2 linked regions of the Caenorhabditis elegans genome follow. Changing the gene in region 2 together with the main gene of any one other region gives a genetic interaction. Each region holds a gene or a part of one and is shown on either strand. Other genes may lie near its edges. The genes, in order: lec-6 and gfi-1.

What was found.
Region 1: of gfi-1 (region 2) and lec-6, changing one enhances a phenotype caused by changing the other (phenotypic enhancement), as found in Caenorhabditis elegans (one study listed by BioGRID).

What each region holds. Positions count from the first base shown.
Region 1 is NC_003281.10:598,925-602,182, forward strand, and holds lec-6 (Galectin), read right to left. Parts: upstream 1,443-3,258; 5' UTR 1,435-1,442; coding exon 1,111-1,434; intron 794-1,110; coding exon 677-793; 3' UTR 586-676; downstream 1-585.
Region 2 is NC_003283.11:6,393,740-6,401,969, forward strand, and holds the start of gfi-1 (ET module), read right to left. Parts: upstream 6,193-8,230; 5' UTR 6,183-6,192; coding exon 6,057-6,182; intron 6,008-6,056; coding exon 5,784-6,007; intron 5,206-5,783; coding exon 1-5,205. Other genes in the region: bcf-1 (bacterial colonization factor), read right to left, coding at 7,792-7,991, 8,078-8,230.

The sequences.
Region 1 (3,258 bases), on a different chromosome or scaffold from region 2:
GCAATTTTTCAATTAGAATTTAAATTTTCGAATAATTGTTTTGAAAAACTTAATGGAAAACAGGCATTTTGGCTGGAAAATAGACAAAAACGAAGAGAAAATGAAAAAAAATAATTCAAATAAATTTTGTGCGTCAAATAAGGTGCCCGGTCCGCAGCCACAGTGTTTGCACCGAACAGGAACTACAGTACCCTAAAATAGTATTTTCCTCGATTTCAGTTTTTGAAACTTGCTTTAAATGAACGAGTGGATATAAAATAGAAAATAAAGCTTTATTAAAAGAAAATAAGTGAAAATCTGATTAAGAATTTTCAAAAAAAAATCTTTTCCGAAGAATAAATCGAATTCCTTCACTATTTTTTCGAGATAAGAAGTTTTAAGAGAAAATGCCCTTTGGAACTAAGTAATGATTAAAAAGTATTAGGGGACGCTAAGCACGCTAAAACTGATGCTTCATAATAATAAACTATGAATTATCAACTTTATAGCGGTGACCTCTACCATTACTGCCGAAATTGCGCGTAAAATATGGCGCTTCGACTCAGTGTCTGCGAATCCATTTTTCGGAATTTAGAAAATAGAAATATTCAAAACCAAGGTTTATTGATATGAAATTTGCACAAAAATTCAAAATGTATCATAAAGAAAGAGTATTTTAAACCAAAAATTAAATAAATTAGTGAGAAACATGGGCGGAATGAACATGAACTCCTCCCTCGATCTCAATGAGATGGACTCCGTGGGATGGAGTACGCTCGACAAAGTCAGCGAAGTGGGCTCCGTTGACGAAGATCTGAAAAATATAATAGTTTAAAGATTAAGTTTCAGTAGGTGAACAGGGCTCGAAATCCAATGCTCATCAGAGATGGGAGTACGAAAAATCAAACTTTTCCACGTGGTGTCGAAGTGTCCCATTTTGGTGTGATCTTCAAAAAATGCGGCCGAAGAGGCGCTGACTTCTCAACTGATTTCGCATGATTAAGAGTGTGCTGATGTCACGAAAAATTCCCTCATTTTTTGTAGATCAAACCGCAACGAGACAGTCTGGCACCACGTGCTTTGCACGAACACAGTCCGCCTTAACATTCTTAAGCCCAGAATCCAACTAACCGAGATAATTCCACCGTTGGACACAAACTCCAGAGTGTAGATCTTGTTCTGCTGGAATGGATTGGCGTGACGATCCTCGGATTGCCAACCTCCTCCGCTGGTCGAGTTGTTCACAACAGCTCCCTCATCGAATCTAGCGTTGAAGTGAAGAACAATGTCGTCTGGAGTGCGAAGATTGATGTGGAAACGAGAATCGGCGGATGTTGGGAGAAGAACGAGACGGAGGCGAGCACCGTTGGAGAATCCTTGCACTGGGATGTTCACTGGGGTTTGTGGGTTGAAGAATTCGTTGCGGAAGCTGATTCCGATTCCTCCTCCGATCATGGTTGATTCTGAAATCAACTGTGTGAGTTGGGAAGGGAAACATGTTAGGAGCAATACTAAGACCACTATTCGTATAAAATGTACATCTATGAGAATTGTAAGCTGATTCTTTGGCTCTAAATCGCATGTTTTATCACTAGGTGATGTAAAATGTCTAAAGATCGAAAAGCCGAGTAGTTTGAAAGTTGATAAGAGCGTATGAAAAACCCTCGGCAAAGTAAACAATTCTCGGTGTCTACTGGGGGAAAATGTTCAACGAAAAAAAAATAGAAATTGGGCAATAAATGTAAACAATCCTCATCTATTTATACATCACAGAATGGGCGGATTCTTGCCTATGAGTCATCAAATACGATTCTAGAGAATTCCTTACTACATGAATCATGGAAAAAAAGGCTTGAGTACATTGTACACCTGCCATCGTCTCTTATAAGCAGTGTTTCTTATCAACTTATTGATGAGTTGGCATATGCTCCGCCTCGAACTATTTCGATGATAAGTTGCTTGTTTACTGAACTGAAAAAGGCTTTTCGATGAAAAATTCAGCCCGGCATAAAGAATGTCACGAGTTAGTTTGGAAATTAAGATGTGTGCTGATAAACGTCAAGAGAGGAAGTAGTGATAAAATTCTAGAGTTTTAACAAATTTGCAAAATCTCTGAATTGTTTTATTTTAGGAGTTTTTCAACCTAAATTCGTATTTTAGTTATTTAATTGTTCCTCGTTCCACACGTCACCATTTACAACCCTTATTATCGAAGTGCCAAGTTACAGGGAGAACTTGGTACATACCAGCTCACCAAGAAAAACCGATCAATAATGTAATAAAACCCGCTGACATTGAAGACAGAAGATACCGCAATTTTCTTTAATAGCTTGGGTTTTTATTAGCGCTAAACAATATATAACGTGGCAGTTTTTTTAATGCTGACTTATAAATAGTACTTTTCCTTTCAATGAATCTTCAGAGAATTTCAATGTGGCATTTTCTTAAAATCTTCCTCCGTTAAGCCATATTGCAATTGTATGTGGTAAACTTTCCAATACTATAAAAATTGAACTTTTAAAAACTTCTGAAACTTGAGTTTACAGTAACTTAAAGCTTAAAGGTGGAGTACCGAAATCTGAGACTTTGCTTTTTAGGCTCAAAACTACCGCATATCGTAATGAGACATCTTGAAAATTTCTCAACACGTTATGGCAGTTCAAAAATCTGGAAAAAGGTCCACTTTCAGCTAAAATCAAATTGTTTCCAACTTCTCGGTGTCGCTGCGTCTGGAAGTTAATTTGTATTTAATTACCACTTTCTAATAAATAATGTGATCGTTTAATGCGCATTTATTCGTTGGTTTAAGTACATTTTCGGCCAGTGGGGCACAAATAAAAGCTATGTTTTTGTGCCCCAATGACCGAAAATGCACTTTAATCAAACAATAAACTCCTAATAAAAAACCACAATATTTATCAAAGAATGAAAATTTTATTTTAGCTGAAAATGGGTCTGTTTTTCCAGAACTTTGAACCGCCATAATTTTTTTTTGCGAAGTTTTGAAAACGTCTCATTACGAAATTCGGTAGTTTTGGGCTATTTTGGGTCTAAAAACAAAGTCTCTGATTTCGGTACTCCACCTTTAAGATTTTCAAGTATACCCAGGAGCCACGTGTCCGTAAAAGTTCAATGATGGCATTTCCGGCTAGTAGTGATGTAATTTAGTCATGAAGCTGATTTTTTCTCCTCAATAATTTTGATGATTAATTATTGATAAGGAAAATGTCAAACAATTTGACGATTACCAGAAAGTTATTTTTCTACAATTCATGAATA
Region 2 (8,230 bases):
CAACATCCGGAAACTCCTGGCTCAACGGTTTGGCAGGAGTTGGACATGTTGAGCTGTTGGCAGACAGTTGTTGGGTCGCATGTCAACAAAGTTGCGGTGTGATTCTGGTTCTGGATGGTGGTAGAGATGGTGATAGATGCACAGTCTCCGTAACATCCTTGAAGAGTCAATGGAGCACCGTATGTTTGGTTGTTGACAAGGAGTCCCTGGTAGCAAGCAGTTGGGAAATCTGGAAGAACTGCTGGTCCTGGTTTCACATTTGGATCCTTGAGGTTGCAGTTGTCCGCGTTGTTACAGCAGCAGGCAGTGACTTCTCTGTCACTCCAAAGTGGACGACAAGTATCCTTAATCTCAAGAGATTTGCAGATAGTATCAGCAACACAGTGATAAGTAGTGACATTGAAACCTCCGACGATTCCAGTCAATGAAGCGCATTGTCCGGAACAATAGGTCTCAGCTCCGAGGCTCAACGAATTGTAGGTAGATTGTAGACCAACGTAGCACTTGAGTGGGTTAGGAGTACGTGGTGGAGAAACAGTTGGGTCGAGGCAAGCATCGGTAGAACAGCAGCATCCGGAAAGTCCATTCTCAATGGTAGTACAATTGTTGTTCATTCCAAGTTGATAGCATGTGCTGACTGGATCGCAAGTGTAAATTGTAGCGTTGGTGAGAGCTCCATTGTACATGGTTGAGAGAGTAGCAGAAGCGCATTCTCCCTTACATGCTTGCCAACCAGCGATGGAAATTGGCATGTTATTGACGTAAAGACCAGAGAAGCAAGCGATTGGATAATCACGGAAGTTCGTAACTGGCATTGAAGTATTGATCTTTCCACCATATCCAGCCAAATCGACGTTGCAGTTGTTGTAGTTGTCGCAGCAGCATCCCGTAACTGTGGTATCATATGGAAGTGGTTTGCACTCGTCGTACATCTCGAGTTGTCTGCAGAATTGGGTTGGCACGCATCCGAAGATAGCAACTGGGTCTTGGTTGAGGGTAGCTTGAATTGAGGCGCACTTTCCTGGGCAGAAGATTTCAGATCCAGTGGCCTTTCCTTGAGCGTAGATTCCAGCGAAGCACTTGCGGAATCCAGATGGTACAGTCTTGTTCTTTGGTGGATCAAGGCAGAGATCAGTGTTACAGCAGCATCCGGAGACTCCTGGGATTGGGGAGGCACACCAGTTGTTCATGTTGAGAGATTGGCAAACAGTGCTTGGGTCGCATCCGTAAAGAGTTGCTGTGGTGGCAACTCCGTTGAGTGTAGTGTTCAATGAGATGGACGCACATTGTCCCTGGCAAGCTCCGAGAATGACTGGAGTAGATGGAACACCGTTGACATAAAGTCCAGTGTAGCAAGCAATAGCATAGTCGACTGAAGTTGGTGGTGGTGGTGGAGTGATGGTGGTATTGGCAATGTTACAGTTGTTGGCATTGTTACAGCAGCATCCAGTGACTTGGTTGTCATTCCAAACTGGTTTGCAGTTGTCGTAGAGTTCAAGGGAGTTACAGATCGAGTTTGGCATGCAGTGATAGGTGTTGACTTGGAATCCACCGACAACTCCTGAGAGGGATGAGCATTGTCCGTTACATGGAATTTGAGCTCCAACGTTAACTGCGCTTCCATTAACAATGTAGTTCGAGCTGATACCAGCATAGCACATAAGTTGGTTTCCTGGGTTACGAGCTGGATAGACTGTTGGATCAATACAGGCATTGGTGTTACAGCAGCAGCCGGTAATTCCGTTCTCAAGAGTGGAGCACTTGTTCAGAATTTTCAAATTACGGCAAACGCGGGATGGATCGCAGGTGTAAAGAGCAGCGGTTCCGGCTTGTCCATTGAATTGAGATGTGATGGATACTGAGACACACTCTCCTTGGCAAGTCTGCCATCCAGCCGAGCTGTAAGCGGTTCCGTTGATGAAAAGTCCGGAGTAGCAAGATATTGGAGCATCATTGAGTGGAGTGAGTGGAATGGTGGTGTTGATCACGTTGGCAAGATGGGTCTGTCGAACGTTGCAGTTATCAGCATTGTCACAGCAGCAAGCTCGGAATTCTGGGTAGTATGGCTCCATGCGGGCGCAGGAATCGTAGAGCTCGAGGGAACGGCATAGAGAGTGTGGAACACAAGCGAAGAGGGTCACGTTGTCATTGGCAATGCGAGCGTTAACCGAGGCACACTTGCCGTCACAGAGTTGTTCAGCTCCGGTTTGAAGTGATGGCACGCTGGTAGAATAGAGCCCGACGTAGCACTTGAGTGGTGGAGTTGGAACGGTCTTTCCTCTGTTCGGATCGAGGCAAGCATCACTGTCGCAGCAGCAAGCGGTGACTCCAGCTTCTGGGGAAGTACAGTTGTTATGAACTTTAAGTTGGTAGCAGACAGACGATGGATCACAAGTGTAGAAGGAAGCCGTGTGCAAAGTTCCGTTGATCGTAGCATTGATGCTGACAGAGGCACATTCACCGAAGCAAACGGAGAATTCCATTGGAGTTTGGTTGAATCCGTCAACGATAAGACCAGCTGGGCAGGTGATTGGATATTCAACACGTGGACGTCTTCTTCCGGGATTGTTGATTGGAGGTCTTGGAACAACTTGATTCAAGTTGCAGTTAGGTCCATTGGTACAACAACATCCAGTGATATCTCTATCATACCAGAGTGTGCGGCAGCTGTCATAGACGTACAAGCTGTTACAGACGTATGTTGGGACACAAGCGTAAACAGTGACGTTAGCGTTGGCAAGTGTTGAAGTAACAGATGCGCAGTTTCCTTCGCAGTATTGTTCTCCTCCGGCATTGAAGATGGTATTTCCCTTCAAATCATAGGAGTAAGCTCCGACGTAACAGAGGTTTCCATCTCCATATGGTTTACGTGGTGGGGTGGATGTTGGATCGAGGCAAGCATCGCTGTCACAGCAGCAAGTCTCGAATCCTTGTTCTTGTTGGTGGCATCTGTTTGTTGAGTTCATCATTCTGCAGATGTAAGATGGGTCACACGTGTAAAGAGAAGCAGTGGTAGCAACTCCGTTGTATGTGGTGTTCAAGTTGACAGCAACACAATCTCCCTTGCAAGCAGTCCATCCTCCGTCAGAGATTTGGCTTCCTCCAATGAAAATTCCAGAATAGCAAGCGCGTGGCATCTCATTTGGTGCAAGTGGTGGAATGGTGACGTTGAATCCAGACGTAGCAACGTTGCAGTTGTCGAAGACATCACAGCAGTACGCGTTGACGAATCTGTCCAAGTAGAAAGTGTTGTTCGAGTTGTCAAGTCCAAGGGAACGGCACATAGATCTTGGAGCGCAATGGAAGGCGGTGACATAGTCGGATCCGACAACAGCGGAAACGGTGGCACAATATCCGTCGCAAAGAACTTCAGCTCCTGCGATGTTTCCCTTGTGCTGGGTGCTGATACCGACGTAGCATTTGAGAGCTTTTCCTGGAACACGGTTGTAGGTTGGATCAATACACTCATTGGAGTCACAGCAGCAAGCAGTGAGAGAGTTGTCAATGGTGGAGCAGTTGTTACGAAGTCCCATCGCGGCACAGGCACTGCTTGGATCGCAGGTGTAGAGAGTAGCGTAGTGAGAGTTGTTATTGACGGTTCCTCCAAGGGAAACAGACACACATTCTCCGTCGCACATGCGGTAGTAAGGCTGGCTGATGTTTTGTCCGTTGAGATGGATTCCTTCGTAGCAGACAATTCTTGGGTCACGACGAGCTGGGATGGCAGTGACGTTGACTCCAGCTGGGGCAAGACAGTTGTCAGTTTCTGAGCAGCAGCATCCAGTGACTTGTGGGTCAGCTCCTGGGATTTGTCCACAGTTTCCGTAAGATCCTCCGAATCCGAGTCCGAAGTAGCGGCACATTCCAACTGGGGCGCAGTAGTAGACAGTTGCGTTCTTTCCGTTGACAACAGAGTTCAAGGATCCGCACCATCCATCACAGAATTGGTCTCCTCCAGTGTTGTATTTGTCTTGTGGAATAGAAACTCCAGAATAGCAACGAAGTTGTGGGCGTTGAGATCCTCTGTTTGGATCAATGCAAAGATCATTGTCGCAACAGCAAGCATTGACTCCTCCAAGAACGCTTCCGCAAGAGTTGGAGATTCCGGCTTGTTGGCACATTGTGACTGGATCGCAAGTGTAGATGGTAGCATTGTGAACTTGGTTGGCGAAGGTGGTGGTGAAGCTAGCTGAAGCACACTCTCCTTGGCAGAGTCCGTAAGCAGAGTTGGTGATGGAAACTCCGTTAACCCAGATTCCTCCGTAGCAGAGAACTGGATACTTGGCGGTAGACACAGCAGAGTTATTCACACGTCCGAGAATGTATGGATTGTTAACGTTGCAGTTGTTGCTAGCAGAGCAGCAGTACACCTCAAGTTCCTCGTCTTGTGGTGGATTGTAGGTTTGTCCTTCAGTGGAAGCAAGTCCGAATCCAGCGCAGACATCGTATGGCATGCAAGTGAAGTATGAAACTTGTTGTCCGTTGGCATTGAACCTGACACGTCCACATCGTCCTTGGCAGTTCATTTCAGCTCCGAGCCAGGTTGTTCCATTGTAAAGTCCGACAGCGCATCTGAGCTGCTTGACTGGGTAGACTGGTGGAACAACAGTTGGGTCAATACATTTGTCCATGCTGTTGCAGGCACAGCCGGTGATGAGAGCGGTTGGGACTCCATTGATGTTTTGGGTGTCAAGGTTCATGCATCCGCTGTCGAGGTTCAAAGCAGTGAAGACGTTGACTGGGTCGCAAACGAAGATCTCTCCCCATACATTGGCTCCATTGTAAGTGGTACGAATACGAGCAGATCCGCATTCTCCCAAGCATTGAGAGAAGGATCCTCCATACAAGAGAGCTCCGTTGACGGAAATTCCTTGATAGCATGTCTGGTTGTTCTTGTTCCATGGAGATGGAGTTGGTGGGTTGTTCATTGGAGCGAGGCTAGTACAATCTTGCTTGTAACAGCAGCATCCTTGAATGTTGGTTCCAGCGAGATTGGTGCAGGCGATTGGATTATTTGGGTCAATATTTGGGAAGATGCCGTCGCAAAGTCCTTGTGGCATGCAAGCGTAGGCAGCAGCGTCGTATCCGTTGTAGACTCCAGAAACACTGGTACATACATTTCCTGCGGAGCAAGTGACGGTGTCCCCTGATCCGAATCCTGGAGTAGTGTTGTTGGCATAGAATCCGACGTAGCAGAGGATATTGCTGCAAACACACAAAATCAGTATTTTACTATTTTTCTTTGATTTTCCTCCTAGGAAAATTTTGGCGATCGCCAAAAATATACTACATATGTATCAGTTTCTTATCACACGATTGGTATTTCGGAATTTAAATGCCGAGGAGCTATCGAGCCACATTTCATGGTTGTGTTGCATGCGCTATTGGCACAATCAGATAAGAAGCGCGCCCAAATGTAAAACAATTATTCCATTATTGTTATCAGTTTGACGTTGACTGTAGTCACAAATTGAAATTGGATTAAATATAGCAAAATAAAGCTTTGGAATTTTGGACTGGTTTTTGCAGTTTTCAAATTACAATATTTTATGAGAGTTTTTTTTTTAAATCAACGAATTTGAAGGTACACATTCTCAAATTGCATTTGCTTGAAAAAGTGTTAATGAAACACTCAAGATGAAAAATTGTTGTTTTGGTACTCATACAGATCTTTTAATCCAATAATTGAATGAATTGGTCCATTTTTTTTTGAAAAAGAAAGAAAGAAGATATACACCTCAATTCCTATCAGTTGTCAAAAAAACAGTGATAACAAAACTCACTTTGGGGCATTAATAACTTCGATTGGCTTTGGAATATTTTCTTCCAAGTCGACCTTGTTACACAACTCATCCTCGCAGAAGCATGATGTCTCAAGCTCACTGCTGGAGCAATCCTGTCCTTTGTTAATGAAAGCCATGAGCTTGTTCTCTTCGCATGTCAAGAGAACAAGTCCTCCGCTTGGAGATTTGACAGTTTGTTTTCTGCACAATCCTTCGCATTCTCTCTGAAGTAGTCAAATGGAAAAATATAGAATTTATATCGGTTGGACGTACCAATTCAACAGACTTTGATGTAATAACATTTTCCGATACAATTAGATTTCCGACTAAGCAGTTTTGTTTAGCACTAGCGAAACTACAACAGCCGGCAAGTGCCAGCAGGAAAATGCCCAAGCGCATCTGAAATTTGAATGTGTTAGTGGCAAATTAAATATTCAATTTCAACAAATGAAGAATAGGAAAATGATTGTTAAAACATGAGTGCGACTTCTCCGAGCGGAAAGAAGAAATTGAGTACCTGACTAATGTAAATTGAGTGAATTAAGCCTCTTATAATGTCAAAATTGTCGAAATTGGTTCATAATCGGCAATCGGTCCTTGTTAACTGTAGTTTCGATAAAACACAAAGTGGGTGGATTCTCAGAACCTTGAAGGCGAAACTTGTGAAGCAGAATACAAAATTATTGACTTCAGCTGCAAAAGAAACAAACAAAGAAAAAGAGCTTCAAAAAGGCATTTGGAGCAGGAAATTTGGTTTTATTGCACATTTTTGCGTCAATTCGTTGATTCAAAGGTGGTCTTGTGGGTTTATTGTCTCGAACTACAGTACTCGGTCATATTAGTAAGAATATGAAAGGGAAAGTACAGACAAGAGAAAGTGCGAGAAAACTTGACTGAAAAACTCAAAAAAGCCCACAGGGATGCGGAATTTGTTTTCAGATTTTTTTAACCATAAATACTGTGAAACTACGATGTAAGTAATAATTTGGTTATTTTATCTAAATTTTAAGAATTTTCCCGCTGGGGCTATTCGATTTTTAGCTTCTATCTAGTTGAGTACAGTATGCCAGTTTGAGCAGTTTGTGGGAAAAATACACCCATTTCCATAAAATCAGGTAATTTCAGAAACGCTTACTGACATTCCAAAACTACACCACTTATTGTTTTGTTTACCTTTTGCCACATCTCACTCGTTTGTTATCAGCACTGATCATAAAACACGGAAATTCGAAAGGAAATTTCAATATCAAAAAATCAAAATTCAATTTAATTATTTCTTTCTTTGAGAGCCTTGAATCTAAAAATTTTATAATGTATCTGAAACAACATTGATCGATATTTTAAAATTCCATGCTGGAAAAATTGGGTTTCATAGTGCGCACTGTGGTAATTTTAGTGCCAGTGTAATATTGACAACAGATCAACAAAAAAACTTAGTTAGCCAAATATCAGTTAAAAACACTACAATTCTTGTTTAATTTCAAGTTGTTTTCTTTGGGTTAAAGGTAGTCTAAAGGTGGCCTAAAGGTGGGTTTATTGTTTCAAACTGTAGTATTCCATCATATTAGTAAGGAAATTGCGAAAAAAAACGAAGTACGAGAAATTTTGACCGATGCCTTCTCCCGATCTTCCTTTAGCAATTTTCGAATAATTTTTTGTTTAATTTAAAAAAATCCACGGTTATACAGCTGAAATTTGAATTAATTGAAAATTGAAAACTGTGGCAACCATTAAACGCGCTCAATACCAATATGTATTAGTTGTTGCTAAAACGGAAGACCGACAAAATATGATATGTGATAGGCCACCTTTAATGGAGTGGCAATGCTTTTGTTTTGAATATTATTTTGTGTCGAGAAATAATTTTATTGTAAAGATCGCTCAACAATTAAGATTTAGAATCTTCAAAGAAAAGGAGAAAATTAAAAAAAAAGAACAAACAAAAAGTTATGCGCGAAAAGAGCACATATGTACATGAAAGAAATGAGAAAAATTATCTAAAGCTGGCCTAATGTCTAGTCAGAGCGATATACACAGCAGCGAAAAGTGCAAGAATTGAGAAGGTGATGGAAGATGAGCCCTTTGTGGTTGTGGCTGGTGATTGTGTGGTTACAATTCCTGGGCCATTGTTTGGACCAACGCAGTTATTAGTGCTACAACAGCATCCGGAGAGTCCGCCGTCAATAGAAGCACACGAGTTGGTCAAGTCTAGAATTGATTAATTTTGAATTTCGAAGAATAAATAATGGCCAGCTATGAAATATATTGGCTATACATTAAAAAAAAAAACTTACTCAAGGAGGTACAGACAGTAACTGGATCACAGGTGTAAAGTGTGAGTGTCTGGTTTCCACCATTGTATGGTGCAGTGTAAGAAATTGAGGCGCACGATCCAGCGCAAGCACTGTAAGAGTCAGCTGTGACTGGTCCTCCATTGAGATAGATGG